Mus musculus: one gene and its partners. The protein of the gene in region 3 binds, or shares a complex with, the protein of the main gene of each other region. Links are inferred from orthologs where the notes say so. Each region holds a gene or a part of one and is shown on either strand. Other genes may lie near its edges.

Evidence for each region.
Region 1: the proteins of Gpsm2 (region 3) and Insc are in contact, whole or in part, in a crystal structure (PDB 3RO3), measured with the Mus musculus proteins. Residues at the interface, in NP_083798.2 of Mus musculus: Asn210, Tyr213, Leu214, Phe218, Arg242, Ser246, Asn247, Asn250, Ile253, Phe254, Tyr265, Gln283, Tyr286, Ser287, Asn290, Thr291, Thr293, Leu294, Arg323, Trp326, Ser327, Asn330; in XP_006507722.1 of Mus musculus: Val72, Asp73, Ser74, Val75, Arg77, Trp78, Met79, Asp81, Leu82, Lys83, Leu84, Met85, Thr86, Glu87.
Region 2: the proteins of Gpsm2 (region 3) and Frmpd4 are in contact, whole or in part, in a crystal structure (PDB 4WND), measured with the Homo sapiens proteins. The link is inferred for Mus musculus from reciprocal best matches to the Homo sapiens genes GPSM2 and FRMPD4. Residues at the interface, in NP_001307967.1 of Homo sapiens: Leu25, Ala28, Leu29, Glu32, Asp57, Lys59, Thr60, Ser62, Ala63, Ile64, Ser66, Gln67, Asn70, Phe73, Tyr74, His85, Asp88, Ala92, Gly100, Lys103, Asn107, Asn110, Thr111, Lys113, His128, Arg143, Tyr146, Asn147, Asn150, His153; in NP_055543.2 of Homo sapiens: Gln988, Leu989, Leu990, His991, Ser992, His994, Met995, Glu996, Met997, Glu998, Pro999, Glu1000, Thr1001, Met1002, Glu1003, Thr1004, Lys1005, Ser1006, Val1007, Thr1008, Asp1009, Tyr1010, Phe1011, Ser1012.
Region 4: the proteins of Gpsm2 (region 3) and Numa1 are in contact, whole or in part, in a crystal structure (PDB 6HC2), measured with the Homo sapiens proteins. The link is inferred for Mus musculus from reciprocal best matches to the Homo sapiens genes GPSM2 and NUMA1. Residues at the interface, in NP_001307967.1 of Homo sapiens: Ala28, Leu29, Glu32, Cys35, Lys36, Phe47, Lys59, Thr60, Ser62, Ala63, Ile64, Ser66, Gln67, Asn70, Ala71, Phe73, Asn110, Lys113, Tyr146, His153, Lys157, Pro164, Gln165, Arg203, Gly206, Asn207, Asn210, Tyr213, Leu214, Arg228; in NP_006176.2 of Homo sapiens: Ser1901, Phe1902, Tyr1903, Met1904, Gly1905, Thr1906, Cys1907, Gln1908, Asp1909, Glu1910, Pro1911, Glu1912, Leu1914, Asp1916, Trp1917, Asn1918, Arg1919, Ile1920, Ala1921, Leu1923.

The regions. Positions count from the first base shown.
Region 1 is NC_000073.6:114,841,110-114,848,344, forward strand, and holds part of Insc (protein inscuteable homolog), read left to right. Parts: intron 1-1,013; coding exon 1,014-1,080; intron 1,081-3,907; coding exon 3,908-4,063; intron 4,064-5,342; coding exon 5,343-5,419; intron 5,420-7,235. UniProt on the Homo sapiens protein: May function as an adapter linking the Par3 complex to the GPSM1/GPSM2 complex. Involved in spindle orientation during mitosis. May regulate cell proliferation and differentiation in the developing nervous system.
Region 2 is NC_000086.7:167,484,275-167,491,509, forward strand, and holds part of Frmpd4 (FERM and PDZ domain-containing protein 4), read right to left. Parts: intron 5,515-7,235; coding exon 5,425-5,514; intron 4,896-5,424; coding exon 4,713-4,895; intron 2,661-4,712; coding exon 2,522-2,660; intron 1-2,521. UniProt on the Homo sapiens protein: Positive regulator of dendritic spine morphogenesis and density. Required for the maintenance of excitatory synaptic transmission. Binds phosphatidylinositol 4,5-bisphosphate.
Region 3 is NC_000069.6:108,717,901-108,725,732, forward strand, and holds the start of Gpsm2 (G-protein-signaling modulator 2), read right to left. Parts: upstream 4,400-7,832; 5' UTR 4,141-4,399; intron 1-4,140. UniProt on the Homo sapiens protein: Plays an important role in mitotic spindle pole organization via its interaction with NUMA1. Required for cortical dynein-dynactin complex recruitment during metaphase. Plays a role in metaphase spindle orientation.
Region 4 is NC_000073.6:102,010,042-102,017,276, reverse strand, and holds the end of Numa1 (nuclear mitotic apparatus protein 1), read right to left. Parts: intron 6,445-7,235; coding exon 6,198-6,444; intron 5,397-6,197; coding exon 5,168-5,396; intron 4,536-5,167; coding exon 4,399-4,535; intron 4,109-4,398; coding exon 3,932-4,108; intron 3,748-3,931; coding exon 3,631-3,747; intron 3,540-3,630; coding exon 3,336-3,539; intron 3,042-3,335; coding exon 3,030-3,041; 3' UTR 2,318-3,029; downstream 1-2,317. Other genes in the region: Il18bp (interleukin-18-binding protein), read left to right, coding at 336-527, 876-999, 1,087-1,327. UniProt on the Homo sapiens protein: Microtubule (MT)-binding protein that plays a role in the formation and maintenance of the spindle poles and the alignement and the segregation of chromosomes during mitotic cell division.

The DNA of each region.
Region 1 (7,235 bases), on a different chromosome or scaffold from region 3:
GGCTATCACTTGCCAGCTCAGAGGCAGAGCATGGCTCCTGGTTAGACTATCTTACCAGCTTATGAAAAAGCTCTCTGGGGAGTGGGCTCCCACTGGGGAGAAATCCTTTAGATCTTCCTATTAATTTCAATCACCATCAGTACATGCTGGCTGCATCTGCAGAGACAGGCATATTTGCCACTGTATGGTTTCTTTTAGGTACGGTGTCAGGGGCCATTTCTGCTTATAGCACCACACTCCTAACCTTGACTATCTCTCTATCTATCTAATTTTTGGCACCATTTACAGTTTGGGTCTCTTGTTGAAAATTCCTTAATCCAGTTTTTAAATATTTATTTATGTATGCTATGAGTTCACTGCGACCCTTTTATCCCGCTGTAAGGACTGGAAAGTGTTATAGCCCAAGAGACAGTAACTGAGGGTGGATGTCCATGGAATGTTAGTGTTCTATCATTAATGACAGTGTCACTGTGAGGGTTAATGGCGATCTGTAAGTAAGGATGGTAGACTAGAGGTTTCTAAAGTGTAGCTAAACTGAACTTTCTCATCAGCTTGCCTTCTGGCTGGAGCTCAGCCTTAATTCATTTCAGGTAGAAGGTCATTGTCAAGAAAGGAAATTGACATGGGGGAACCCAATCAAAGATCAAAGAATCAGGAGACAAAGCCAGAACAGAAGAGAGAAAGGGGTCTAGAATCGTAGGGGTGAGGCTGAGGGTCTCTGAATTCAAACAACTGGATCTTAACTTCATTCGTTGTGAGTCTGCTTTTTACTGGAACCCCAGATGATTACCCTAGAGCCACCCACTGACTAGTGGGCATCACTGGGGCTTACATCTGGGTGGCAGCAGCCCATGATGTAAGGTAATAGAAGACAATACCATGGAAGGGCTAGGCAGATGTATAGTAAGGATCCAGGCTGACAGAAGCTCTGCAGTCCCCATATAACCTACCCACAGAGAGTGTCATGGGGACCATGCGTGTTTGTTTTATAATTTCTCAATTCTGTTTTCCAGATTGTGACCATCTTGGCAAACATGTCTGTGCTGGAGCAGTGTGGCTCTGACATCATTCAGGAGAACGGTATGTCTGGGAACGCTGCATGGATTATCAGGGTATATGCCTGTGGGCTTGTATAAATCCCATGTGTACATATATAAGTGCACATATGTTTATATGTCTGTATGAGCATACACACACACACACACACACACACACACAGAGAGAGAGAGAGAGAGAGAGAGAGAGAGAGAGAGAGATTGAGAATTTTGTGTATAACCTGGTCAAAAGTGAAACGCTTATTTGCCTTCACAGGCTTAAATTCTAGTGGGAGATATAAAACATAGAAGACAATGCCAGGTAGGGATAGTGGTCTGGGGACAATAAAGCAGCGAGGGAGGTAAGGTTGTCCCAAAGTGGGGTAACACTGCTATTTAACTGCCTTATTGCCTTTGGCCTCCATGGAAAGCTAACGTGTGGGAAGGAGGTAGGGGGAGGGGGAGGGGGAGGGAAGGACAGCCGCCTCTACCCCTCTCCCAGAGGACCTTACTTCCAACTGGCCTTCTCTGTTCCACCTTGTGTGTTCCTGGTCAAGGGGAGGTGGAGCTGGGCTTGTCAGCCTGAAGGCTGTTGTAAGCAGTCTCTGTCAAAAGACAAGGTGGCTGCCTTGCAGCTGGGAACAGAGCTAGGCTGGCCAGGGCTTCCTGTGATGGAGGAATAAGGGAGCAATTAGCAAGCAGTCGGAGGCCAGAGGCACTAATGAGAGAGTGAGCTGGGAGGCTGGGTACCTCTGCTCTCCTGAAAGTCCCTTCCCCCAGGCTGCCCTGCTGTCTTAACAAACATACACTTCCCCGGTCCCCAAGACTAATTGAAACACACCATTTTGTGTTAATTTCATGTGATTGAGCTAATAATGAGAAACTGTGCTGAGCCAGCTGAGGCCAAGAGGAGAGGCTGCGTGGTGTCACTTGTACTCTCCTTAGGCACTTGGAGTCTTGGCTCAAGTGGCCAGTGACAGCAGGCTGCCACTTGCCTGAGCCTTTGAGCTTGGGATAGCTGCCATCTGGAGAGTGCTTTGTGGCTTACAAAGTACTGTTGACTAACTCAGTGAGTCCACAGGGGCAGAAACCTACTGTGTGCCTGGCATTGTGCTGGACATTGAGGACGTGGAGTTTAATGAAGCCCCACATTTCTCCTAAAGGCTTTCCCTGACCAAAAGGAGGGCCTGCCTGGACTGAAGTGTTGATGTATAAGATAGGCCATCTAAAACAGTACAGTCACCGAGTGAGGATGGAGGGTAGCAGAGTGTTAACTCTGGAGCCACACCTGGTGGGCACAAATCCTGGCTCTGTTATCTACAAACAGTATGGGCTCTCTCTCTTCCCTCTAAAAAGTGGGAATAGCAATGTTTGCTCACAGGAGTGTGTGAGGATGGCCATGAAGAGTGGTGTCAGGAGAGTGTCTATACCCAGGATGAGCCCTGCACCAGGTTTACCTTTTCTTTTAGGAAACAGTGTGAGCCTCCCAGGATTTCATGCAGAGAGTTTGAGGAAGGCAGGAATTGAGGAATCCGAATGATAGTGATGTACTCAGAGGCCACTAGAAGCCAGGAGACTCCAGGTCTCTAGAAGGGGAAACCCTGTTAGATAGTCTGACTTTGAACACCCATTACTAAGTCACAGGTGGTAAACATAGATGCCTGCAGGATCCAGGCACATAATGAAAATGGACAAAGTGGACAAGTATTCGGTCAATCTCATTAATAATAGTAAATTTAAGACAGGTGTGTAGGCATGTGCTTATAATCTCAGAATTCAGTAGGAGGGTTTTGAGTTCCAGGCCAACCTCAGCTACATAGTCAGCTCCAAGGGAGCCTGAGATACCCAGCACACCCCTATCATAATACAAAACAAAATCAGAAACAAACAACAACAATAAGCTTCTGGCCATATAGAGATATATGTGGGGTCACTACTGCCAATTCAGCAGGTAAATGTTACAAACCAGAAGTCTAGATTATTATGGAAATCAACAGCTCACAGACAACATAATTCTTGAAGCAACACTGTGAAGTAAACCTATCTTTAGATCACGTTTAGTTGAAGTTCTCAGCCAGCTGGTTGGGACTAGGATGCTGGGGGTGGGGGCAGCTCACACAGAAGACAGGCTTCCGCTGAAAACCTGTACAATGGAAGATATTTGAAGAGGGAAAGGGGCGTTCCCCACAGAAAGAGTGGGCAAAGGCAGGCTGATGGTGTATGTGTGTGTGTGTGTGTAAGCGCACGCGCGCGCGCTTTATATGCTTTATAGACCAATCAGGAGACAGATCTTGCTTGGGGAGGAGACAGGAGGACCCTAAGTGACTAAACAGAGCCTCTGGCTGGCACTCCCACCTGGAATGCAACTGCTGTAGTGGTTCTCCAGCCTAAACCCTCCTGCTATGGGACACCTCCTGCTATAGGATTCAGTACCTTTGACCTGTCTCAGATGCAGCCCTATCTGAGTTTCACACAGCATCCCCATGCTTTGGACATGAGGCTTACTCATTCTGGACCTTAAAGTAGAATTACCATGGTCATGTCCATGAGACTGTTGGGATGTTTGAGGGGACTGTTTGTTTCCTGTACATATAACAGTGTGAGACATACCATAAAGTCAATAATGTTGTTTTAAAAAGTGGGGGTGTCTTTTTAGATGTTTCTTTCCAGGTTGGTGACTTGGTGCCTAGAATCCCACATCTCTATGAAGTAGGAAAGGAAAGAGGTGCCCATATCTAACTGGCACCTCTGTTTGAGACTCCCCTACCCCAAGCCTTTGCTCGAGTCCTCCACCTGTCTAGCTAGCTCCACTAGGGAAGCTCTACCCTGGGAGTAAGACTAAACTGTCCAAACTGTCCTTGCTTCTTGCCCAGGTGTCCAGCTCATCATGGGCATGCTGTCTGAGAAGCCAAGGTCTGGGACACCTGCTGAAGTGGCAGCCTGTGAAAGAGTACAGCAGAAAGCTGCAGTGACCCTGGCCCGCCTCTGCCGAGACCCAGATGTGGCCCAGGAGGCCGTTCGGCTCAGCTGTGAGTGGCGCTGGCTGTGGCTGGAGTGGAATGGGAAGCTTGGGATGAAAGTAGTGATCTCATGGTGCTGTCAGAGGGCAGCGTATTAGGACTAACTGGGGTCAGCCCCATGCTTTGTGTGCTGGGAGATGCTAGGGTAGAAACCCTGGGCATAGCCCTTGGTCTAAATTGTAATGAGAGATAAAAGTTGGCCAGAAGAGCAGCTCACCTGCAGGCTCCTGTTGCTCAGAACCTGAGTATTTCCTTCGCTTAACCATTTATTCTTTTATCGACTGTTTTCATTCATTCTGCATTCATACGTTTATCCTCTCAGTAATTCATTGACTCCATTATTTATCTAGTCACCATTCACTTATTTATGCTCAGAATATCTATTTATTCTATTTATTGTTATTAGCCTCCTATTTGCCTGAATATCACCAGAACCTCCATCCTATAATAAGCTCTAGAACAGTGGTTCTCAACCGTGGATCACTTATCAGACACCTCTACATGACAGATATTTATGTTACACAACAGCAAAATTACAGTTACCAAGTAGCAACAAATAATTTTATGGTTGGAGGTCACCACAACACAAGGAACTGTATTAAAAGTCACAACATTAGGAGGGATGAGAACCACTGCCCTACAGGTGCACAATACCTTCCCTGAATGGTGACAGGAGAATGGTCTGCACGTGAGAATCGGGAGACTGATGCTCAAAGCACATCTGGTAGAAGAAACAGGCCCTGCGTATCTGTGTGGGTTGATGGATGTTTTAGCAAGGTCACATATCTTCTTTGTGGCTTGTGGCAACATTTTCTCAGTAAACCTCTCGGAAATGTTAACGGGGTTTATCTTTTTCTCTACTTTTAGCTAAGATATATTTTCTCACTGACATAGCCAATTGAGGCGATGTAGGTGGGAGATGTCAGTTGGAGACCTCAGTGCACAGGCTTGAATGGTAAACATTGCACTTGTAAATCAGCAAGTGTGTACTCCAAAGGCCTTGCTCAGAGAAAACAGGCAACATGCCTGCAGTGTTTGGCGACCATCAGCCCAGGCTGTTGCTCTCGCACTTGTGGGCTTGACTTCAACACTGTACTTTTATTGCCCTTGAGCAGGAAGTAGAAAGTCTCCTGGAAATATTCCTCCAGGTGGTTCAGCTTCTTCTCTGCAGACAGGCGCTAGCATGTACGATGCGTTAACATGTCCGATGGGTGAAGCTGGCCAGCACCTCCATCCCACCTGGCCAGGCTTGTCTAACCCAGTTGTGATCTGCTTGTGTCTTGTACAGGTATGTCTCGCCTGATTGAGCTCTGCCGGTCCCCCTCTGAGAGGAACAGTAGTGATGCTGTCCTGGTGGCCTGCCTGGTGAGTTCTCAGCCTGCCTTCAGCTTACCTCAGGGTTTTAAGGAAGGTAGACTAAGGCCAGGGCAGCTGGTTCTGTCACAGTTGGATATAAGCCTTGATGCCTCCCCATGCTTTTCCTTCTCATATCCAAATGGCAATGCTGATTGATGCTCATTCCTATTAGTATGTTGAGACCCATATGCAAAATGAGGATTGAGAAGCTGTTATCCATCCAACCGCCACAATCCCAGTGACCCTTTAGGTTCTAGGGGCTCCCAACAGCAGATTGAACCAGAGACATGTGCTGGAGGGCTGCTAGGTGGTAGTGTTGATATCATGGAGTCCCCAGAACACAGGGGCCAGGAAGTGGACAGCTGTCTGTCCAACGTGAACAATTATGAGAAAGGTTTCTCCTTTTACTCCCAGGAGGAAACCTCTGCCAGGCCCTCTGGTGTGGACATGACTACAGAGGGCATGACAGGTAGTGAGGCTTACTCCACCAGATGCTAAGATCTCCTCCTTGAACCCCACCTAGGCTCATCACACTTCTGGGTACTAGGGGTTCACCTTGAGCTAACCTGCTCTAGCAGATGGGCAGCACATGCTCTGTTCACACTTATCTTCCTATGGGCTGTGATGAACCACTGAGCAGAGTGGCAGAACAGACCGAAGTTTGGGCTTGTGGAGAAGCTGTCAGCTTTCAGGAGAGAACGCCAGATCTTTGGCCCTCAATGTACACATGGGAGAAGCAGTGGGTGGAGGGTTCCTTCAGGCTGAGTCATTGCAAAGCCTTCCTCTTGCCCCATTCTTCACTGAGCTCAGCTCATTTCTGGGAGTTCCACATGGGCACTGTGCAGTTGTAGAAGCAGCTGGTATTGCCATCAGTGGGCCTGACCTCGCTGTACCTTGGTGAGCTGTGTTGTTGAGTAGATCAAAGTGCTATAACTCTTATCTAGCAAATATTTGCTGAGGGAATTTATGTGCCACTTCCTCTTGTAGGTTGTGGAGATAGTTGTGGAGACAGTTGGGAAAAAAATTTCCTGCTTTTATTCTTGGACCTTCTGGACACTCTTATCTTTTTGTGCCTTTGGAAGTCTGGGGAAAATTTTTAACCTCTTCTACAAATCCTTTCTTGACATTTTCACATGTGTATATAGTGTATTTCAAGCAGACTCACCCCCATTAACCCCTTCTAACCCCCCATCCACTCTGAATTCATTGGCCCCATCTTCTGAGTAATTTTTAAATGCATAGAAAATTAATGTAGAGCTTTAAAAGGGCACCAATTATGTTAAAACAACTATTCTATACTTATGCACATAGCATATTAAAATGTGCTTGTTCATGGTAGTAAATACTATTTGGAGACACCTTCAACATCTTTTATGAGATCTGCAGATTTCTGTGTTTTCTGTTGAAGAGCAATGTCAGATATCAGCTAGATCCAGTTTGTTTCAACATTGACAACCAATGAAGATGTTGTTTTGAGAGGGATTAGTTGAAAGAAAGAAAGAAAGAAAGAAAGAAAGAAAGAAAGAAAGAAAGAAAGAGAAAGAAAGGAAGGAAGGAAGGAAGGAAGAAAGCAAGCCTTGCTTCTCCACGTTCACAGGCCTTCTTGGGTCTATTTTTCTATCAAGTAAAACAAGGAGACATTCATAGCTGACAAGCACATCATCATTGGCCCCAACTCCCTGATCTTCCGTGCTCTGGGCAGCAGCAACTGCCAGACTGAAGGGCTTGAAAGCTAAAGTTAAGGACGCAGGGAGCTCTTGGGATACATAGGCTGCTACCATTGTGAGGGCTTCTTGCTATCACTACTGGCATTTTTACTGCTTCT
Region 2 (7,235 bases), on a different chromosome or scaffold from region 3:
TCACTGAACATCATTTTAACATTGTACATATATATACCTTTCTTAATTCTTACTTACCAAAATAAAATTTTAGCCAAATTATATAAATGAGGAAACTCAAACTTGGAGAAATTTGAAAACCCATACCACTTAAAGTGGTCTGGAAAGTCAAAGCTGCCTTCTAAGAATGTTTTGTCTATCTTTCCTTCTTATTCTTTTGTATGGCTGCGCCTTATTCATGGCTAAAACTGCTTCTATTCCCCCTGACTATAATAATAAACATCACATGAATATATATCTACATACTACAGTGAAGATTTATTGTTTGGGGCTCAGTTTGAAAATAAAAAAAGCTGTTTCCTTTTTCTCCCCTAGAGATAGTGACAATGAGTGTGTGTGTGTGTGTGTGTGTGTGTGTGTGTGTGTGTGTGTGTGTTTACATATGCCATGGGAAGCATGTAAAGGTCGGAGGACAACTTTCAAAAGGTGGTTCTTTCCTTCTTCCACATGAGTCATAGAGACCAAACTCAGAATTCTAGCCTTAGCAGCAAATGCCTTTACTCACTGAGCTAGCTCAAAAGCCCTACAATTCTTTGGTTGTTGTTATTATTGTTGTCATTTTGACACATAGTCTTGTTCTTTAGCTTTCCTTGGTCTGGGTGCCCTCAAACTCATGAAGATCCTGAGTGAGTTAACACCAAGTAAAACCTGGGTACTTGGATTACAGGTGTGCCACTGTCTAGCATGTAGTTCTCATTTTTTAAAAGAAGTCCTATTTGTAAGACCCTTAATTCTAAATATGTCATCTTCTGACTTGCATGATGGTATCTATGAGCCATATATTGGGCATCCACTGCAGACAGAAGAAAATATAGACTAGAGCAAAAGTCATAAAACAAATTATAATTACTTACACTCAGTGCAAAAGCCAACTTAACATATATCATCCTCTTTGTCCCATCTATGGGAATATTTTCTCCTATCAAGTGGCTGGAGTGACCTCTGTTAGCTTTGCCTGGATGGCACAAGGGTGGAAGAAGTTCTTTCTAGAACATCCAAGTCTAGAACAGGTGTGGTGGGTCACACTGAGAATCCTAGTACTCTGGAGACTGAGTCAGGAATGCTATAACTTGAGATTGTCTGGGCTACATAGTGAGTTCTAGGCCAACTTGGGCTACATACTCTGTCTCACTAAATGCATGCATACATTCATAAATACATACATACAAAGCAAATTAGTACAATTAGTGAGTTTATAAGATGTCAAAGCTCTAGCCTAGGAATTTAAAGAAACAAAAACTCTATGTCAGGGGGCTTCATTCTCAGAGTCCCAGCCATTTCAAGAGTGAGACAGTGAAAATGTAGCTACAGGACCATGAAACCAGCTTAGTGGAAGAGTTTCTGTTTAGTATATATGACTAGGTTAGGACCAAACACTAAGAAAAAAACAAGAAAGAAAGAAAGAAAGAAAGAAAGAAAGAAAGAAAGAAAGAAAGAAAGAAAGAAAGAAAGAAAGAAAAGAAAGAAAGAAGGAAGGAAGGAAGGAAGGAAGGAAGGAAGGAAGGAAGGAAGGCAGGAAAAGGAAAAGGCTGTCAAGACTTCACAGCAATAAAACCACTGCTTTTGAAATGAGCCCTGTCATTTCCAAGAGACTTTTCAGATGAAATGGGCAAATCAGCATGTTTATTTTTAATAGTTAATCAATGTTACCAGTACATAAAGTTTTGTGTTATATTTGGAAGTTAGATATTTTTTTTTATAGATAGAACCTTATCTTTTCTTTTTTTCTTGATACTAATGGGGATTAAACCAAGACTCTCATATTTGGTAGGCAAGCACTCTATCACAATTTCTTTGTGTGTGTGTGTGTGTGTATAATGTATGTATGTGTGTGTATATATGTTTGTGTATATGTATCTGTGTGTATCATGTATATATGTGTGTGTATATATGTTTGTGTGTATCATGTATGTACGTATGTATATATGTTTGTGTATATGTATCTGTGTGTATCATGTATATATGTGTGTGTATATATGTTTGTGTGTATCATGTATGTACGTGTGTATATATGTTTGTGTGTATGTATCTCTGTGTGTGTGTGTTTTTTTTTGTGTGTGTATGTGTGTATGTAGGTATGCATATGCTCTGGTATGCATGTGGATGTCAGTGATCAACATTAGGTTCTGGTTTTTGTCCTCTCCTGTGATTGAGGCAGGATCTTTGTTGTTCACTTATGAGTTGTATAGTCCAGGCTAGCTAGCTCACAAACTCACAGGGATCCTTTTGTCTCTGCCTCTCATATTGTAGGGACACGGGGAATACAGACACATGTTATGTATCTAGCTTTATGTGCACTCTGGCCCTTGGAACTCAGGTCCCCATGATTGTGTGGAATGTATTTCCCATCTCCCCAGCCCTTGGAATCAGCAACCTTAGGTATAGCACTTTCCTATTGAACTCTGCTACTGATTATTATTATTTTGGGGTACGTTCTCAAAGGGTGTGTGGGAAGAGGATCATGAATTTAGAAAGAAAATACCTGTGTCCTGCGTGCCTGCGTTTTTCTTGTTGGCCATGTTAAATATTGACCTCCTGGAGTCCACAAGCAGCCGGTAGTATCCAGCTGTCAGACAGGCCAGGTTCATGGCGTCTGATGACTCCATAAGTAGTGTAATGGGCTGCACAACAAAACAAAATTTTCATTAATGTCTTCCTGCTGAAAGTATTTATAAGTTCTTATGACCTATAAGGAAAAGAAGATACTGAGAAAATATTCCTCTGGAGAAGCATAAATCAGGGGAGAACTTTAGAGATTCAAGGTTGGAGAGAAGGCCCTGGTTAAGAGCTTGGTTTCCTTTATACAGGAACCACCAATACAGATGTGGATGCTTGCAGCCAACCATCGGACTGAGCACAATGGAAGAATTAGGGCAAGGACTGAAGTACCTGAAGGGGATTGCAAACCCATAGAAAGAACAACAATATCAACCAACTAGACTAACCAGAGCTATCAGGTACTAAACCACCAACCAACCAAAGAATATACAAGGAGGGACTCATGGCTCCAGCTACATATATAGCACAGGATTGACTTATCTGACATCAATGGGAGCGAAGGCCCTTGGTCTTGTGGAGGCTTGATGCCCCAGCATAGAGGGATGCTAGAGTGGTGAGGCAGGAGTGGGTGTGTGGGTGATGGTAGCACCCTCATAGAGGCAGGGAGAGGGTGATGGGATAGGGAGTTTGCTGAGGGGAAACTGGAATGGAGGACAATATTTGAAATGTAAATACATAAAATAACCACTTAAAAAAAGAGCTTGGTTTCCTGTACCTTCTTCAGGTGGCTTATAACTGCCTATAACTCCAGCTCCAGGACAGTCAATACCATCTTTTTGGCTTATAAAAGCCACTCCATGCACACATGCATGCATATTCATTTTTAAAATGTGAGCTCTGTGGTGAAAATGAGTGTTCAAGAGAAAGAAATCACAAGTCGAAATATTGGTTATAACTGGATGGGGAGCACCAAAGAGACCCGAGAAAATGATGCTTCTAAAATGAAATTGTTGGTTTACACAAATGCAAGCTGGAGCTGGGAGCTGGGAAGAGACACTGCTCAAACTGGAAACAATGAGCTCCTAAGAGGCCATGTATCTTGGTGTGTGGAAGGAAGTGCTTATGGTGCAGTCATTCTCATTGGCTTGAAGGGATATGTTCTTGTTGAAAGAAAGAGCAAAGGAGGCAATAAGTTTACATCAGACAACAAATGGGGCCAAGACAGCAAAAGAGCAGATATCTAGCTCTCAGGAGGACTCTGGTCATTGGAACATTTCCTATTCAAAATCCCCAAACTGACCTTTCTATCTGAATTGACATCTCTGCTCAGCCTCTAGGCCAGCCAACCCATGTAGGTATTAGATCATCAGCCGGGTCTCCTCACTCATTTTGTTGTGGGACCTACTAATCCTTTTACTAGTAACAACATCCAGCTCACATTCATTGTGCCCATTCCCTTCAATGTGGCTTTCTCCCAGCATCCTGGGCCATGAGCTAGGATAGGCATTCCACCAATCTTGCCACACTTGTGTCTGGCTAAGAAGTCAAGAGGAGCCATCTGGGTTAAGGCCATGACATTCCATGTGCACGGGTGACACGTGAGCTTCCATGCTGTGTCATGGTAACATGTTCCTGCTGCAGAACATGCAGGTGCATTCTGATTTGCTCTGAAGAAATGCTTTACAGTCATCCCGGTGTTCCTGAATCTATTCCTCCAACTCTGCCAGACTGGGCCTGGCGTTGGGACTGGGTATCCCAATTTAACCAAAGAGAATGAATGACAATTCTAACTAGCTGGGGGAACTTTCACTGACTTTCCACGTGAGAAATCCAGTCTAGAAAGTGTGGTGGAAACACATTCTCCCTAGTGATATATGATTCAGTATTCTACAGCCAGAAGGGACTGAGAAATGATATAACTTGCTTTTTTATGTATAGATGGAGAAACTGTGTGTAAAGAAATATAACAAGCTGTCCCCAATCACACAGCAATTTAATGAGGACTAGAGCACCTAGACCGGAGTTGTATGAATTTATTATTTACTTTTTTCTCACAATGTGGCATCTTGGAGGCCTTGCACACATTAAGTCTTTCATGCATGGTGAGTACCATCAAGGCTATCAGAAATGAGCTGCTCAAGCCAGTGCTTCAGATCAACATTTGATAGGCTCACCTTCACATCTAGCACATGCAACTCCACCCTCACCAAGCTCTCCTCTTCAGTAAACATTTCAATCCTGTTGACATGGCTGAAGTCAGCTAAAAGAGCCACCAGATTGGTTTTGGTGTTTATGACATGGCTTATGCCATACCGGGGACCAACCAGAAGAGTTACTTCTGAGCGCTTCTCTGCCTGCTGAGGAAAGAGAATGACAGAATATTTCAAAGCCTGGACTTCTGAAGCATCATCTAACTCAGCCTGAGACTCTTTTCATAATATCACGACATATTCTTTGGAAAGGTTTTCTGGGTTACATTGCATTAAATCATCCAATTAGGTGGACTCATATATGAGTGTATGGAGGTGCCAATAAATTATGAATAACGTAGAAAGTAAATGTTATCATGATACAATATATTTATATATATCCAAAACTTTTAGAAGTGAGAAGGGTTTTTCCCCACTTCTATCTCAGTGATTGAAAAGACACCATTGTAAGAGTCCTTTGATTCCATTTTTTCCCCAGGGCTGCTCCAGCAAAGCTATCTAGATTGAACAGGTCTTAAGTTATCTTCAGAGTGTGGTGAAGTCAGTTAGTATTGAAAACAAGGAAGATTCTGAGCTTCTTTGTGTTTATCATCCAGGACAACTCCTTGAAGACAGCCTGTGCTGAGATGTTTGGCATGCCTCTGACTCCAGACAGAAAGAAAGAAAATAAAATTACCACTAATGTTGCCTTGAATACACGGCCCCCATATAGTCGCAGGTCGCTGAGGAACTTGAGATAGTGGACCTTAGCTTGTAGTGCAGAGAGCTGAGGAAAGAAAAGAAAGCTTAACTGTGGGCTCCACTGGGTGGGAACTCTTTCTACTGTGGAGATAAAGGCACATGACAAGAACGCTTTTTGTTTTGTTCTGTTTTAAGACATAGTTTCATATATCCTAGGCTATCTTCAAATTTCCTATTTAGCTGAGGATGACCTTGAACTTCTTGAACTTCCTTTTAACTTCAACTCTGGAATGTTGGGATTACTGCTGTGTGCCACCATGGCCAGTGCATGCAGTGCTGGGGTAGAATCCAGTGTTCTGGGTTCTCTACCAACTGAGTTATGCCTCCAGCCCCAGTGGATGCTTGTATTGCTGGGGAGATGGGGTATGAGAAAAACTCTTCAGGAAGAAGGGCAGTATATTGCTATATCTCATGTTTTCTGATGATGGACTGAAATGTAACATCAAGATTCAAATCTTATTGCTTCTGTAAGAGAAGTGTGAATGTGTGTGTGTGTGTGTGTGTGTGAGAGAGAGAGAGAGAGGAGAGAGAGAGAGAGAGAGAGAGAGAGAGAGAGAGAGAGAGAGAGAGAGAGAGATGGGAGATGTTGAGTAGGTACACATGGTTCATCCATTCAGTAAGTAAGAACAGGGCGAGACATTGCTCTCTGGAAATGTCTGTTCACTGAGAGGTTACAATAGGTGAGGGATACTTCCCAACTGTGATTAGAGGCAAAGAAGAGTGTGGTATGTAAATTTTCTAATGACACAGGAGACTCAAATGGACATAGAATTTGTGGAACTGCCTGAGATCTCTGCAAAACCTTTTAAGCAGCCTTGCATACCTCCACTCTCAACTTTCTTCTACTCTTTTCAGAATTTCAGGGAGAGTGAACTTTCTCATCTCCAATCACTGTGAAATGGTTTGAGTTTGCTATAAAAATCCTCATTTAGCTAATGCAACTCTGAGAATCTATGGAGTTTCATGAATTACAAATATCTAGATAGAACTGATCTTTATAGAGACTTCAAAAATGTTGGCTTTCGTGCCATTTAAAATGAGGAATTTGATTAGAATCTGTATCTGTCTTATATTGAATACATAAGGAATGTTTATCAAAGGTGAATTTTCAACAAGGTATAGATGATCACCATTAAGTAGCAAAGACTGGAAAATTTACTTCAATCACATATGACTTTTCAACTCCCTTGCTAACTCTAACAAGAGGTATTGTCCTTTCTGTAGTGATGATTTTGTACCATTCACTCATCCTAAATCTCGTCAAAATCCCAAAACAATTTAAGCAAACCACTGTCTTGGCTAGAAATGCTAGGTTTTAGTAGGAAACACACAGATATAGACACAGACACAGACACAGACACAGACACACACACATACACACACACACACACATGTATATAATAGATAAGAGAATCAACTAATATTGGTGGTTGTTAACTATTATAAGACAAGGCCACCAGCACCAGGCTTGAAAAAAAATCAAATCAAACTACTTAAGAGACATCAATTTTTGGGCAAATCAGAACAAAAGGTATGAAACATGTACGTGTGTGTGTGTACGTGTGTGTACGTGTGTGCGTGTGTCTGTGTGTGTGTGTCAGTCTGTCTGTCTGTGCCTCTGAGTATCTGTGTTTCTGTTTGTGTGTCTGTGTGTCTGTCTTTCTCTCTTTCTGTACATGTATATGAGTGTGTGCGTACATGGAGGACAGAGGATATCACATGTGATTCCTTGAGAGCCAGTTACCT
Region 3 (7,832 bases):
ATAAGAGTTCAAAGAAATACGTATAAAATAGTCCTATGACTACTATTATTAGAGGAAAAAAGGAACAAATATTAGTCAACAATGGTGTGACGGTTTGAATATGCCTGGCCCAGGGAGTGGCACTATTAGGAGGTGTGGCCTTGGTGAAGGATGTGTGTCATTGTGGGCATGGGCTTTAAGGCCCTCCCTGGAAGCCAGTCTCCTGTTTGCCTTCAGAGCAAGATGTAGAACTCAGCTCCTCCTGCACCATGCCTGCCTGGATGCTGCCATGCTCCCTGCCTTGAGGATACTGGACTAAATCTCTGAACCTGTAAGCCAGCCCCAATTAAATGTTGTCCTCATAAGAGTTGCCTTGGTTGGTGCCTGTTCACAGCAGTAAAACTGTAACTAAGACAAATGGGAAGTATACAACTCTAAGAAAAAGCAGATACCAAACCGCTTGAAAACCACAGCCATTCATTATCACAGCAATTCTCTCACCTCTGACTTCCCTTTTCAGTTTCAATTACCTACAGTCAATGGTAGTCCAAGGCTATTACATGCTCAATTCCAGAAAGCCAATGTACCTTTAAGACTTTACTTATGAACCATTCTGAGAAGCAGGATGAAATGCCCCGATTCTACCCAGACCGTGAATCATTCTGTGTCCAGTGTATCCATGCTGTATACGTTACCTGCCCTGTTAGTCATTTACCAGTAACTACCCTGATCTGCAGATGTCACAAGTCCTCCTTCAAGTCATCTTATTTTAGTTAATAATGGCTTCAAATCACAAGAGTACAGATGATGACAATTTCATTACATTATATTTCCACAGTTGCTTTAATTATTGTATGTATTCATCCTTATGTGCATTGGTGTTTTGCCTGCATGTATGTCTATGAGAGAGTGTCAGATCTTGGAGTTATAGACAGTTGTGAGCTACCATGTAGATGCTGGGATTTGAACCCCGTTCTCTCAGTGCCGTTAAACGCTGAGACATCTCTCCAGCCCCTAATGGCTTTATTTTATTATTAGTTATTGTTAACTTCTTACTTTGTCTAATTTATAAGTTAATTATCATAGGTATGTTTATATAGGAAAAGACTGCTTAGGAGCTACTCAAGGTCTCAAGACTGGAGGCCTTCAAAGTGTCTCCCCTGAGGATAACAGGCTACTGTACCAATGGTGCTCAACCATCAACTTTAATCAGTCAATACATGTGCATGACAGTTTACAAGCTGAACAGTGAAACCCAAAAGAACTGGCCTTTCCTCGGTAAACAGCACTAGATCAGTTCTCTTAAAAAGGCAGTACCAACTTCAAACATTTTAAAGCAAAAATGAATCTTAATTGCAAAACTTTATATCCAACCAAAGAAGGGCTCTAGAAAGTGAGTACAGAATTCCTTGTAGGAAAAGAAAAAAACCCATATAAAACACAATCTTATATATAAAACATATTACTAAGCACCTTCTATGGAAGGAAATGTTTCTACTCAGTTTAATTTTATGAGGTTATAGCAGAACTCTAATTTAAAAGGACAAAAAAACCCCAAACCCTCTGTGGAAATAAGGAAATGTGTACTGCAGGCGCTCCTATGGTAGAACTTATTAGGCAAACAGAGTAAGGCGTTCTATTTAAGGGAAGCAACTGAAGCAAAGAGGTGGGGTGTGTAGACACTCCTGGGAAGCACATTGGTCAGAAGTGGAAGAGAACATGACCAAACTGTGAGGCTTGCACTGTCTGGCTGAAGCACCTATTAGGCTCTGTGTGTGTGTGTGTGTGTGTGTGTGTGTGTTTTCCAATGGGAAACTTGTAGGGTTATTATTATTCTTTTTTTCCAACAAAGAAATAGCAAAATTACATGTTAGGACAAGAAACAGGCAGCATCACACAGGGCCAGATGAGGAGACAAGGTGAAAAGTACTGCAAAAACTCAAAACTGACTAAGGAGCCTCTCTGCCCACTCAGGACATCAGTAAATATTCTGTGCACCACAGATGTCCAACCATCTAGGTCTGAGAATGAGGCTGGGGTGTAGCTCAGCAGAGCAGGAAGCAGGTGAGGGCAAGAACTGGGGTTCAACCATCAGGATAAAAGGGAATTCTGTAACCGTGCAAAAACAGAGTTTATAACACATTTCTAACAGTGGAGAAGACTATATTTATATTCTTGCAGATTCAAGTAAACTTTGCTCTGTGTCTTTGGAAAGGTTAAAAGCTATGGGAAGTGTTATTTGCTTTAGAACACACACACAAAGCGAGACCATCGTTACAAGGGTAGATAGATCCCTCCACACTTCATAACAAACCACCGACTGTATTGTGGTTTTAAGTAGAATTATGTGCCACAAGTGGGATTCAGAAACACATGGCCATTTAAGTGCAGTAGCTGGTGCTTTGAGATTAGGGAGTAGTCTCAATCCCACCAGTAGCCTATTAATTACACAGTTTTAAAAACAAATGCCCACAGGTGTGTGGGGTGAGGGTGGGGGTATGTATGTTTGTTTGTTTGTTTTTAGGTAAGTCTTGGAGTACTTTATGGGTAAGAAAGGTGAAGGCTGAGGATGTGGTTTGGTTTTGCTCGGCATACACCTGCCCTGGATTTGACCCTAAGCATGTATGGTGCACACCTGTAATCACAGCACTGGGAGGATGGAGAAAGAGAATCAAAGAGTGCAAGGCCAAATTCAGCTATCTGAGACCCTGTCTCAAAACTACACTGAATGAATGGAGGGAAGGAAGGAAGAAGAAAGTCAGCCAGCCATTTCATACCAGGTGGAATTTGTGCACATATTACAGCCCAGTAGCTGTAATCCCAGCTACTGGGCTGAGACAGGAGGATTCCAAGTTCCAGGCCAGCCCTAAACATTTAGCAACAATAGGTCTCAAATAAATGAATGAATGAATTAATTAATTAATAAATGAATAATCTGGAATTACCTCAGTGATAGAACTCTTGCTTAGTGTTCACATGGTTTAGAGTTCAAACCCAAGTACAGAGGAGGTGAGGTGTGGGGAGCCACACTATATATAGTGCATTACCTTTGTAACTAGCCTACTATTAAATCTCAGGTTTACATCAAAACATACTTGTAATAGTGTATGTCTGACCTACTGAAAATTCAGCTAAACTATTTTTCCGTGGGACACGCTTCCACAATACTCCACAGTCTCTGAATTCATAACCAGTCCAATCCTCGAATTGTAAGTTAGAAATAGTTTGCAAGAGGGGCCTATGAATGCCTAGAACCGGCCGGGCATCCCTGAACTCCCCCACTGCCCTCAAGTCAAAGGACAGGAACCTTCGCTTTTGAACTTAGGCGGAACGAATCTCTGCTCTTAGCACGTCGAAACCCCAGGCAAAAGTGCTCTTTACCAGAAGCAATCACGATGGTTACTAACAAGCCGGAAAATCTTCAGTTTAGCCTTCCAAAGAGGCAGTCTGAAAATTCTGCTTCGCTGGTGACAAAAACTTACAACACAAACCACACAGCAGTCCAATCAACACAAAGCACCGAGAGGAGAGTCAAGAACTTACCTATTCTAAGTCTACCCGGCGTTTAAATAATGCATTAAGGCAAATAAACATTGCCATCATTACTCGTTTCAACAGAGTTCAAATGATACTTGTTAAAGCCACCTAATTGTTTACCATTAAAATACAAGGAAATTACGTTTTCCACTTTTCATCTGAAGATACTAAGTTTACAGCTTTCCGGCTAAGATCTCAAACATGTTACGCTTGCTATAAAGCTGGTTACAACGATCTATCAGTTTCGCTTGCCAGTAAGTCTGGGATCCGAAAAGTTCAGGAGTTTAAATGTGACTTGACAAAGGTGTCTGGTGTGGAGACCCGGGGCCGGCGACGTGCCTGGGATTCGAATCCACTGGGATTCGGCTTTGTATCCACCGTCTGTTACGCTCGGAAAACGCGTGAAGTCGCTGCATCCCAGCAAGTATTTTCAAGGTCTGCAGAAGCCCGATCCCCAGTCTCCCCTCACTTAGGGGACAACAGCCTAAATGGTGCGGGTGCGAAGCCCCCCACGGAGCTCCCGGGTCCCAGCGTCACCCGAGCCCGTCGAGCCTCGGTGGTCCAGAGACCCCCGCCCCACGCCCCCACACACCCCACTGGGTCACCCCCTCAGGCTCCGCTCACCTCCCTCCGGCCCGCGGCTCCTGAGAACAAGGAACCGCTGCAGGGATGAGCGCCTCTGGCCGTAGACTAGGAACCGCGGCGCTTCCCCAAGTCGGGTCCCGGCGGCGACGCCGAGCCAAGCAGGGGCACCGCGGGAGGCTGGCGAGCGCCCCGGGCGCCCGCCCCCGGCAGGTCACGTGGGCCAGAGCTTCGGCCTCCCCCTGGCCTCTCAGAGGGTCTCACCGCCAGCAAGGCTCCCTCAGCGCCTGTACTCCTCTGCGCCTGCGCCTAGCTCCAGGCTCGCCCATTCAAACTGACAACGCCCCGCGTTTTTTGGACCGGCCAATGGCACCGGTGGGGCGGGGCTAGGCGGGTGGAGGGCGGGGCTAGACGAGCCAGGGCTCCCTCCTTCTAAAGATCTGTGTGTGGGGTTTGCCTCTCGGACTGTAGCGCTTGATTCTCCTCTGCTGCGGATAGATCCTCCGCCAACTAGAAGCTTATTGTCCTCGAATTTCTCCTTCAGATGGCGAAAAGTGGGACAATAAACATCAGAGTTCAAGCTGGGTCTAGTTCAGACTTTGAACCCAGGAGCCCCAGTCCACTGCCTCTTTCCCTGCAGGCTCAGTCCCGCCCTGGGAAAGTCTTCCAAGAGGCAGATGTGAGAAAGAAAGAGGCCTGTGTGAAAGGAACAGAGGGTCCCGTGTGAAAGTCTGAACAAGGAGCCTCAGTTCTTGAGGCAGTGTCACACACAGTTCTGGCGTTTCCAGATGTTGGGAAAGCAAACTTCTTCTGACTGCAGGATCGCTGGTTCCCAGGAAAAGCAGAGATGGCGAATTTAATCCGCTCCGGCGGCTTGCATTCCCATTCTATTCATGCCTTCATATCAAGTTCACCAAAAAATAGATCTTAGCTTGTTCATCAAATGTTTAAACTAGAGTCTCTGCTGTGAAGCTGATGACGTTGGTTACATTACATTATCTATAGCCACTGCCTATTTCTCCACTGGGATGAAATTTTAATGTTTTACAGGATTGGGCACCTGTTAAAGAAATTCTAGTTTCAGCATCTCTGTGGTGATGGCCGTGACCACTATATGTGTGTCATGGAAAACTGTATAGAGATAGTGTTAGCACCAGCCAGACCTGGGTTTGAATTTCAGCTCGGGCCTCTTCCTACTGACTGATTTTGAACCAGTTAGGCGTCTGTCCTCTGTAGCCTTAGCTTCCTCAGCTGTAAAACACAGATAATGAGACCTCCTCTAATAAGGTCTGTCATGATGCTTCAGGAGGTAAAGTTTATGAAATGGTTAACACAGCTGCTGACACATCGAAGCTGTTCAATAAGTGGTTCTCTTATTATTATCAGCGAGCACCCTTAATACCAAGTTCTTATAAAAAGCTGAATTAGCTGGTTGTACTATTTCAGAGGTAGATATTATAATTCTTCCATACTCATAAATTCTTTGTGGGAATTGGTACAGTAAACCACAATAAAAAGTATTTTAAATTCTGCATAGCCAAAGCGAATCGTTTCTTTCCTGTGCCCCCTTCTCTCATAGATTGGACTTTTTATCTCAGCTATCAGCAATGTCTATCTTCCTAATCAGTTGAACTGTTTTGTAAATCTTCTTTCCAAACGCATGCATCCATGAGATTGTGCCATTCTTCTACTTGAAGACATTTAATGGTCAAAAAACAAAACAAAACAAAAACAAACAAACAAACAAACAAAAAATAACAAGAGTCAGGTATTGTCTCACATACCTTTAATGCCAGATCTTGGGAGGCACAAGCAAGTGGGTCTCTGTGTGTTTGAGGCCATCTTGATCTATGCAGTGAGATCCAGGACAACCAGGGCTACATAGTGAGACCCTGTCTTTTAAAAAATAGAATATATATTTATATACACCTACTTTTTAATAAGTGTAGTTGAGAGTATTATATATGTAATATAAAATCCACACAGACTTTGAAACTGAAATATGACATAGAATATTTAATATATTTAAAGAAAGAAAAGCATGAGAATAAATGAATCAAGGACTACAAAAACCCAAAACTCTCTATATAAACCATATATAACTATATATGTATATATTTATGATAGCTTATACAAATATCCTCAGAGGACAGAAGGGCAGCAGAACCTAGCCCACACAGACTTTGAAGTGCAAAACGACATAGGTAATAAAATAAGGAAGGTTAATGTATTTAAAGAGACAAAAGCATGAATCAAGAACTGGAAAAAAAAGAGACAAGAACAGGAAGGTTTTCAAAAGAAAAGGAGAATTCCAATGAAACTTTTAGTATAATAGGGAAGCAACTGACATTTTAAGTTCAGTGCACAGGTTTGACAAATTAAGAGATGAAAAGTGAGCCATGCATGAGGTGCAACTCAGGAAACCATTCTCAAACAAAAGAGAAACGAGGAAAGAGACTGAGATGCCCCAACACGTTTCCAGTTAAAACCTAAGATGATGGGGCTGGAGAGGTAGCTCAGCACCACGTGGTGGGTTTCTACCCCTCCAGAACTCCAGTTCCAGGGGATCTGACGCCTTCTTCTGACTTTCTTGGGCACCAGGCGGGTGGTACACCAGGTCAAACGCTCATATAATGTTCTAAAAAAAAAAAAAAAGTTTAATTCAAAAATAAGGCTGGGAACACAGCTCAGTGGCACATGTTAACTCCCAACACCAGAAAATAAAATAAAATAATATAATATAAAATAAAATAAAATAAAATAAAATAAATGGCAGGGTATAGTGGTGCATGCTTTTAGTGCCAGTACATTTCCTTTCTTTATTAAGTTGATTATCTCAGGAATTTTGTCATAGTAACAGAAAGCTAGTGAACAGTGAAGTGTATCTACTTGGCTAGTTAATGACAGAGCTAATCTGTCTCAAGGCTATGCTTTTGACATCTCTCTTTACTGTCCCTTACTAATTCAAGAAGAAGTAATAAGTACAGGCATATGTGAATGGCTAAATTAACACTACATACTTAGTATTTCAATTAATACTAAATACTTAGTTTTTAAAGAACTGTTAGGGAAATAAGTGATCTAATATCAACAAAGGCAACAACCCAAGAGAAGGACCAGCCCTTTGCAATGGAAATCCCAGTGGCTACAGTGGGTCTCCACAGGCACTTCAGCTTCTCCAGCTTTTAAATAATGCAAACACAATGGCTGGGACGATGTGGAGGCTTCCAGTCAGCAGATGAGACCAAGTGCTTTTGGCTCCCGTGGTGCCATGTACAAATGAACTACCTTATTGCTCAAAGGACCACTTAGCAGGGTAAGTTGCATAGAAGAGACGCAGGAGTCTCCTATGACTGTCCTGAGTCCAACTTTAAAGAGTTGGCTCGCTGTTCTTACTCAGATGTTCTCCTCTGAAGATAATTCCTCTGTTTTATGATGCTATTATCAGTCTTAATTATGGGATTGCAAATGTGCCCAGAGGTCCCATTGGACACAGTATCCTAGCAACCTAAATTATCATCATAAGGAATTCTTTCTATTCTCAGTGGTTACACTCCACCTCAAATATTTGTCACGGATGCTTACCAGACATTGGCCTTTGAACCAGCATGACCTCTGTAGGGCCTGTATCTCACTGATGGAAAGACCTAAGTACGTTTTTTTTGTTTTTTTTGTTTTTTTTTTGCTATGTGTTACTCTGGCGGTGCTGGTGTGTGCTATATAGCACATACTGA
Region 4 (7,235 bases), on a different chromosome or scaffold from region 3:
AGGCTTTGTGGCTCTTAAAGGAATGGAGCTATGTGGCTAACTCTGCTACCCAACACCCCCCACCCCAAGGAAGTTCCATCCAATTCTTCCATTGCTGTAAGCGCCTATGTAGCTACTTTGGTTCTGGCTCCATTTCAAGGCTCCTTTGCACTACATTCAGCAGAGCCGAGGGGTGGGGGCTAAACGGTCTCCACCCACTCAGGTTCCTGGTGAGAACCTAGGAGTATCTGGGTCGAGGTCTGTTCCTACCCAGGTAGCAGCTTGTCCCCAACTAAGATGGGTGCTAGAAAGCTGAGCTTCAGTTTTATTTACAGCTGTAACTGTTTGTTCCTCAGGCCCCAGTTCTTGGTGGGTCCTGCTTTTGTATGTCCATGTCATTTTGGCCAGAGCCACATCTGCACCTCAGACAACTGCCACTGTCTTAACTGGAAGCTCAAAAGACCCATGCTCTTCCTGGTCTCCAGCAGTCCCAACTAAGCAGTACCCAGCACTGGATGTGATTTGGCCAGAAAAAGAAGTGCCACTGAGTAAGCAACAAGTATGGGAGCCCAAGAGGATACAGTTGCCAGAAGCAGGCTGTGAATACAGAGTTGGGGGGTGGGGGTTTGACTTGGGAGTGTTACTTCCAACCTGCCAAGAAGCACCAGGCCAGACCAACTTGTCTCTGTGTTCACCATTCTACTGCCCAGCTTCCCAGATGGTTCCTATAGAAGAGAACTCAGACATAGGCAATGTAGAACCTCACAGGGCCTAGGTTGCAATTTTCCTATGTAGGTAGGACACAGGTCTTATGTTTCTGATTTATGACTAAGTGGAGCTTGGCAGGATAGGGGCCTCTGTTTTATAGAATAACTAACAGTCAAATGTGCTCCTAGATGGAACTCTGACCTTGTCCTGTACTGCCTGCAGCCGCTTCCCCTACTTCAGCATCCTCTACTGGCTGGGCAATGGTTCCTTCATTGAGCACCTCCCAGGCCGGCTGAAGGAGGGCCACACAAGGTAAGGGACCTAGCAGTGGGGCTACAAGAAAGACCTTCCTCCTCCCCAACTCCGGCAACCCTCTCACGATTTCCTTCTGCTTTCCAGTCGCGAGCACAGGAACACAAGCACCTGGCTGCACAGGGCCTTGGTGCTGGAAGAACTGAGCCCCACCCTACGAAGTACCAACTTCTCCTGTTTGTTTGTGGATCCTGGACAAGTGGCCCAGTATCACATCATTCTGGCCCAGCTCTGGGTAAGGAACCTGAAAGAAGGCATCCAGGGATGGGAGGAACGCTACTACCTGGGGAAGGAAGGATTGGCTTTTCCAGTACAACCTGTAAGCTAGTGACTGTTTTGAGATCTACCAGAGGTGGAAGCAAGGAACATGGGACTGCAGTGACAGCAAGTGATGGCAAGAGCTCTTCCTTAGCTCTGACCATGTGTGCATTTACTTCTCCAGGATGGGTTGAAGACAGCTCCGTCCCCTTCTCAAGAAACCCTCTCTAGCCACAGCCCAGTATCCAGATCAGCAGGCCCAGGGGTTGCATAAAGCCAACCACACCATGACCTTGACCAGAGCCTGGCTCTCATCTACCTGGAGGGTGGAGTCTACACCATAGGCTGTGATTGCCTTTCTGCTGCTGAACCTCAAACTCAAGCTTCACTTCTACCCTAGATTATCATAGTAATTAAGTCCTTAGAGTTCTTCCTGTTTGTCCTCCTGTCCATCCATCCAGTTTACCTTTTCTGATGTCTTATTCATCCCACTGGTGTTCTGGAACCTCTGAGACCTGATGACACCTTAGCCAAGTGATAGCTCTGCTTACACTTAACGTGAAATTGAGATGCCTATCTGGCAGATTTCTACATCCTGTACCAATCAAAAAGGTTAACCCGAAGCCTAGTTGAGATATAACTTTGGCAACATCCACTCAGCTCTGACCACTATCTGCACTGACTTCAATCTTTACATGTGATTTTGTTTTCCTAGTTTGCCCCTAATGTACTGTCCCCAAGGCAAGGACGGAACAGTGGCTGCGTCAGGTCACAACTGTATATGTCAGTCTGTGTCTCTGCAGGGCCCACACTGAGTACTCATAAAGCTGCAGCAGCTCAAGGTCTCATTTTTATTTAGACCCTGGTACTGTCCTCAGGAACTCTGCCTGACTCAGGCAGCATGAGACACTGCCTCTTGCCAAATAAAAATTCAGAATAACATGAACCCCTGCAACAGTCCATAATACTAGTTAGGAACAGGGGCCAGAAAGACCAAACACAGGCTCCAAAGAGCTGCAATTTCCCCTTTTTCCTCATACTGACCCAAAGAGCTTAGCACTCAAGGGAGAAAAATAGACTTTATTTACAAGTAATAACATTTAGAAAAGATCCATCCCCGGCCCTTAAAAACCTCCCCATCGTTCCATATCCTACCCCAGTGCAAGTCTGGGGAAGGTGAAGTATGAGCTGCCATTGAAGGCTGCCCCCTATCTCACCCCTGAGATCCAGAACCTATCTGTCCTGGAAAAAAAGCATCCTCCAGGCAGCTGTATATGGAAATAGGTAAGAACAGAGGCTCCTACCAGGTCATGCCCAATCCTGGGCTTCAAGAGCAAAGACCCCTGCTAAGGCCCAGCCACCAGGAACAACAGAGAAGCAGAGCCTGCTTCTCCAATGGTCCCTTCTAGGTCCAGAGACTAAGGAAGACTGGGCTAAAGAATCCAGTCTCAATCTAGTTAGATGGAAAAGTAGACTTTTTTCCAAAACAACAACGGAGGGAGAAAAAAAAAATCAGGAGGCAAGATAGGGAGAAGACCACACACTGTCCAAGCTCCAAGCCTCCTGGGCCATCTCTGAAAGACGCCTAGAAGGCACCAGGCAAAGTCCAGGTAGCAGGCCAGGGTGCAGGCAAACCTCATTGTCTTGGGGAAGGCTGGCCGCCATTGGCCTGGGAGCTGAGAGAAGGCACTGAGGGACAGCAGGAGGGAAAGGACCAAGCAAGGTCAGTGCTGACAATGCAGTGGGGCCACGTAAGCACTGGTGCTGACTCTTTAATGCTTCACCTGAAAAGGAAAAGACAGTCACTTGGCCAGATTAAGTCCTGTGTTGCCAACCTCTATTGACTAGTTCACAAAACCCCTGGCTGGACCTCTTCCTTTTTGGGGTCTCATAAACACCTACATTAAGTTATGAGTTGCCAGCCACACCTAAGAAATGTGGGGTCCTCAATTATGAGTGGCTAGCCAAGACAGAGATACCTCTTGCATCCCACCCTCCTCCAGTGGTTTGGTTTGGGCTTGCCTCGAATGCTGCCCTATGGAGTAGTCTAGAGGATGGTCTTCCTTCTACTGCGTTACCTTGCCCTTGGCCCGAGGAGTGGTGGCAACAGTAGCAGTGCCAGTTGTGGTGGTGGCAATGCGTGGAGAACGGCGGGTTCCACTGCGAGGATTGGGGGAGACCTTTGCTGGGGTCTTCTTTGAAGCTCCTCGCCTTAGAAGACTATTTCCCAGCTTCTTAGGTGTGTTAAGGATGCTGAAAGCCATTGACTGACGCCGGTCCGCCTATGGGGAAGGTCTGTCAGACTGCTACTTTTGAGCTCTGCCAGCAAGGCTTCACTTGGCCTTCCTTCTTCCCCTTGGGTCCTGGACTAACCTGTTTGAGAACTGGAGCTGCTTTCTTCTGGGTGTCAGCAGTGCTGCTCTGCTTACGTCCTTCATGCCGGTCCCTGGGGGTCATGGGGCGTGGAAAGCAGCTGGTAGCTTTCTTGGACTGTGAGACAAGATAATTGGGCAGATAATGGCAAAAGGACATGCTCTCCCTACTTCTGACAAAGGCCTTTCCAACGGTCTGTATATCTGCCCTTGGAAAGAGACTTCCCTATCACTAAGATTTGGTGGGCTGGTTCATGCCTGGGTATAGTGCTAAAGACAAAATAGATGCACACATCATCTACCTCAGGAGTGCCAGGGCCCTGGTGGGTCTCAGAGGAAACTCGTTTGCGCTGCTGCCTGGTAGTTATGCCAACACCCTCAGCAATCTGAGCTGGCTGCATGCTGGCTCTACGCAAGGTTTCCCTGGGGTCTCCAGTCTTCATCTCCTCATCAGTGATGGTGGCCAGGCTCAGGGTAGGCTGCATGGGACAAGAGGCAACAGTCAATGGGCCCAACTGTATAGAGCAAGAACTAGGGCTAAAGCTGGATTCTTAAAACTCCTTCCTTCCTGTTGTTCATGTTGACCTATACTTGATGGATAGCTAACAATTCCAAGCACAGTCATATCTGACTTCACTCCTGAGTGACAGCTATTCCATGACCTTCCAGTAGAATGACCTTCCCAGTAGACCAAAAATATCTATGACTAGATATTCAGGCTAGCCACTAAAGTCAGTGTGGAAGGTCTTGAGGTGACCTCACATCTCACCCTGGACTCCAGAGGGTAGCAGGTCTTCAGGTGCGGGGGGCATACTCGGTTGCGCTGCTGCAACTCTGCGATGCGGTTCCAATCATCCAGCTGCTCGGGCTCATCCTGGCAAGTGCCCATGTAGAAGCTATTCCTCCCTATGGAGCACAGAAAGTTAGGGCAAACACGGCAGCTAATACACCGTCTACTAATCTGGCCAGGCTTTTGTTGCCACTGTTCACTCCCACCTTTCTGGGAGTGGGGACTTCGGGCTAGATACACAAGTTCTGTATTGATGTTGCACAGCAAAAGTGCCGTACCAAACCATTTGTCTCATGGAGGTGCTTTCTCAGGGGAGATCAGAAAGAGTTCATGACCAGAGGCTGTAGCATCTTATTCACTTGCCAAAGCTTGGTGCCCCACACCAAGAGAAACTGAGGGTCATGAATTGATAACCGGGGAGGGTCCCTAGATCCTAAGGACAACTTCCAAGAAACTGCTGGGCAGCCTGACTTTACCAAGCCCACTGTTTCTCAGACAGCAGCCTGGAGGACTCCCCCAAGAATCAACTCGCACTAGGAACTGTGTGGAAATCTTAACTAGTGAGCATCCCTGGTTCAGTGTGTTCCCTTGCAGTCCTAGATAGGAGATGGCACAGGTGAGTGAGGGGAAGCAGCTCTGGCATAGTAAGGAGGCCTGCCTTGAGCTTTTGGAAGCTTGCCTCTTTTCCAGGCCAAGATTTGCTTCCAGTCTAGACTGGGATTCTGGTAAATTCCTGTAATTTCCTCACCTTGGGGGGCCCCACTGGACATCCTGGCCTGGGAGCGACGAGCAGAGCTTCGTGTGGTAGGCCGGTAGCCAGGCAGGCTAAGCAGAGCGGAGTTGCCATCATCAGGAGAACCCAAGCGGGCCAGAGACTGAGTGGAGGAAGTGGCTCGCAAGTTGGCCTGGGAAGCAGGAGCAGACTGCGTGCTGTAGAAGGATGAGTTGGCGCTGTCTGGCTCTTCCAATTCTAATTTCTAGAAGGACAAATCATTGCAGCAATACTATAAACCAGCACCACCTCCCTCTGCCCCAAAGCTCTCAGATACCACACTGCTTTACACTGCGTATGGAAACAGGCCATACAGCCAGAAGCATCTTGGAAGATGCCAAGATTCTTCTACCACAACATTTTGAAGGAGGCATTATTAGCCTATTTCAGAGATAAAAGCAAGGCGAGTACCCTCTACTCACACAGCTAGGAAGTAGCTAGGCTAAGAGCCAGAACCCCTATCTCCTAAGCTATCTAGATGGATTCAGCCCACAACCTCTGCTGTCCCTAGACCCACGGTTCCTGGGGCCTAAACTAATTATCCCCAAATTCTCAGTAGTAGAGGGCATAAAAGCACCTTCCCACCTGTTCCTCAGCCCACTAGAGACAGGGAAAAAAAGAGAATCTAAGCCTAGAAGCAGCAGACCATTGAGAGCCACACCAAGCTACATCCTGGCTGCATGGCGTGCCAGAGGCTCGGAATGAGCTGTTATTTCCTCTATCCTGCTCTGTCTTCCGTCAGACAGGAGAGAGGACTCTGGCTGAGTTCAATTCCTAGCAACCACATGGTGGCTCACAACCATCTGTAATAGGATCTGACTCAGTCTTCTGATGTGCATGAAAACTGAGCAATTGTATATATAAAATCAATCTAAGAAGAAAAGAGACCATAAACAAATCTATGCCCTTTTAAAAGATGTTGTTCATACCTGAGTGTTCCTGATTTATGAGCCCTGGATAAGGAACTGGTGTTAATATCCAATAGTCCTATGCCCAATAACCTAACCTTGGTCATAGTGATGTTGATGATTTGTGTGGTACGGCGGCGAGCAGAGCGGGTCTTACGGCCGGAGTCAGGGAAGGCATCCCCCAGAGAGTCAAGGCTAGTCTCCAAGGGGGCCTGACCCCGAGCAGGAGTGGGGGTGAAGTAGAGGCTCTCCAGGGATTCCACTTTGGGGGGCAGGCGCTGGGAGATAGGTGAAGCTGGCTCTCCAGGGACACTGGTACCATCTGGTTGGGTACGAGGCAGCTTGCTGTAGCAAAAGACATTTGCCGAGATGCAGACCCTGAGCTAGAAGACATTATGTCTGTCTCCTTGCCCCAAACTGACTTAATCTTATTACAGGTAAATGTGGTAAAATACAGTACCACTGGTCTTTCAGAGATAGCAAAAGGGGGCCTTGACAGTCCACTCTTGGCTGCTCCTAACCCTTTCCTATAGCAGCTCTCAGATCTCTCTACCTTAGCCCAAACCCTGCTCTTCAGGTCAGACAGCTATGGGCCCAGACCTCCCCCCCAGCAGATGCCACAACTGCTCGACAATTAATGGGGCCTACCCTAAACCCCTCTGCATGTTCTTCCTCCTCTATCTCCTACTTTACTAAGTAGGGACACCTTCACATGAACATGGGTGTAATTGGACATCTTCTACCATACACAACCATGGTCAACATCCAAGAAGCTCTCCTAGCTGCACACTCCCTTCCCTCAGCCTCAGTTCATCTCACCTAGACCTAGACTGCCATGAGACACTATAAAGTAGTGATAAGCAAGAACTCAGGACAGGCTGCCAGGCTCAGACCTGGCTCTATCACTGTGGATCCCCCAAAAGCCCAATTCTATCTGTTTAAGGAGAGATAATGAATAGAGCCTAAAATGGTTGCTAGGAGAAAGCTGAAGTTGTAATTGTTCCAAGAACTGGGAACACTGGCACACAGTACAGTACACATTTGATAGAAACAGTAACTGTACTGCTAACCTTTGACTTCAATACTGTCAGGAAACTAAGATGCAAATCCAACCTGTAGTCCTCAATTTCAGCACT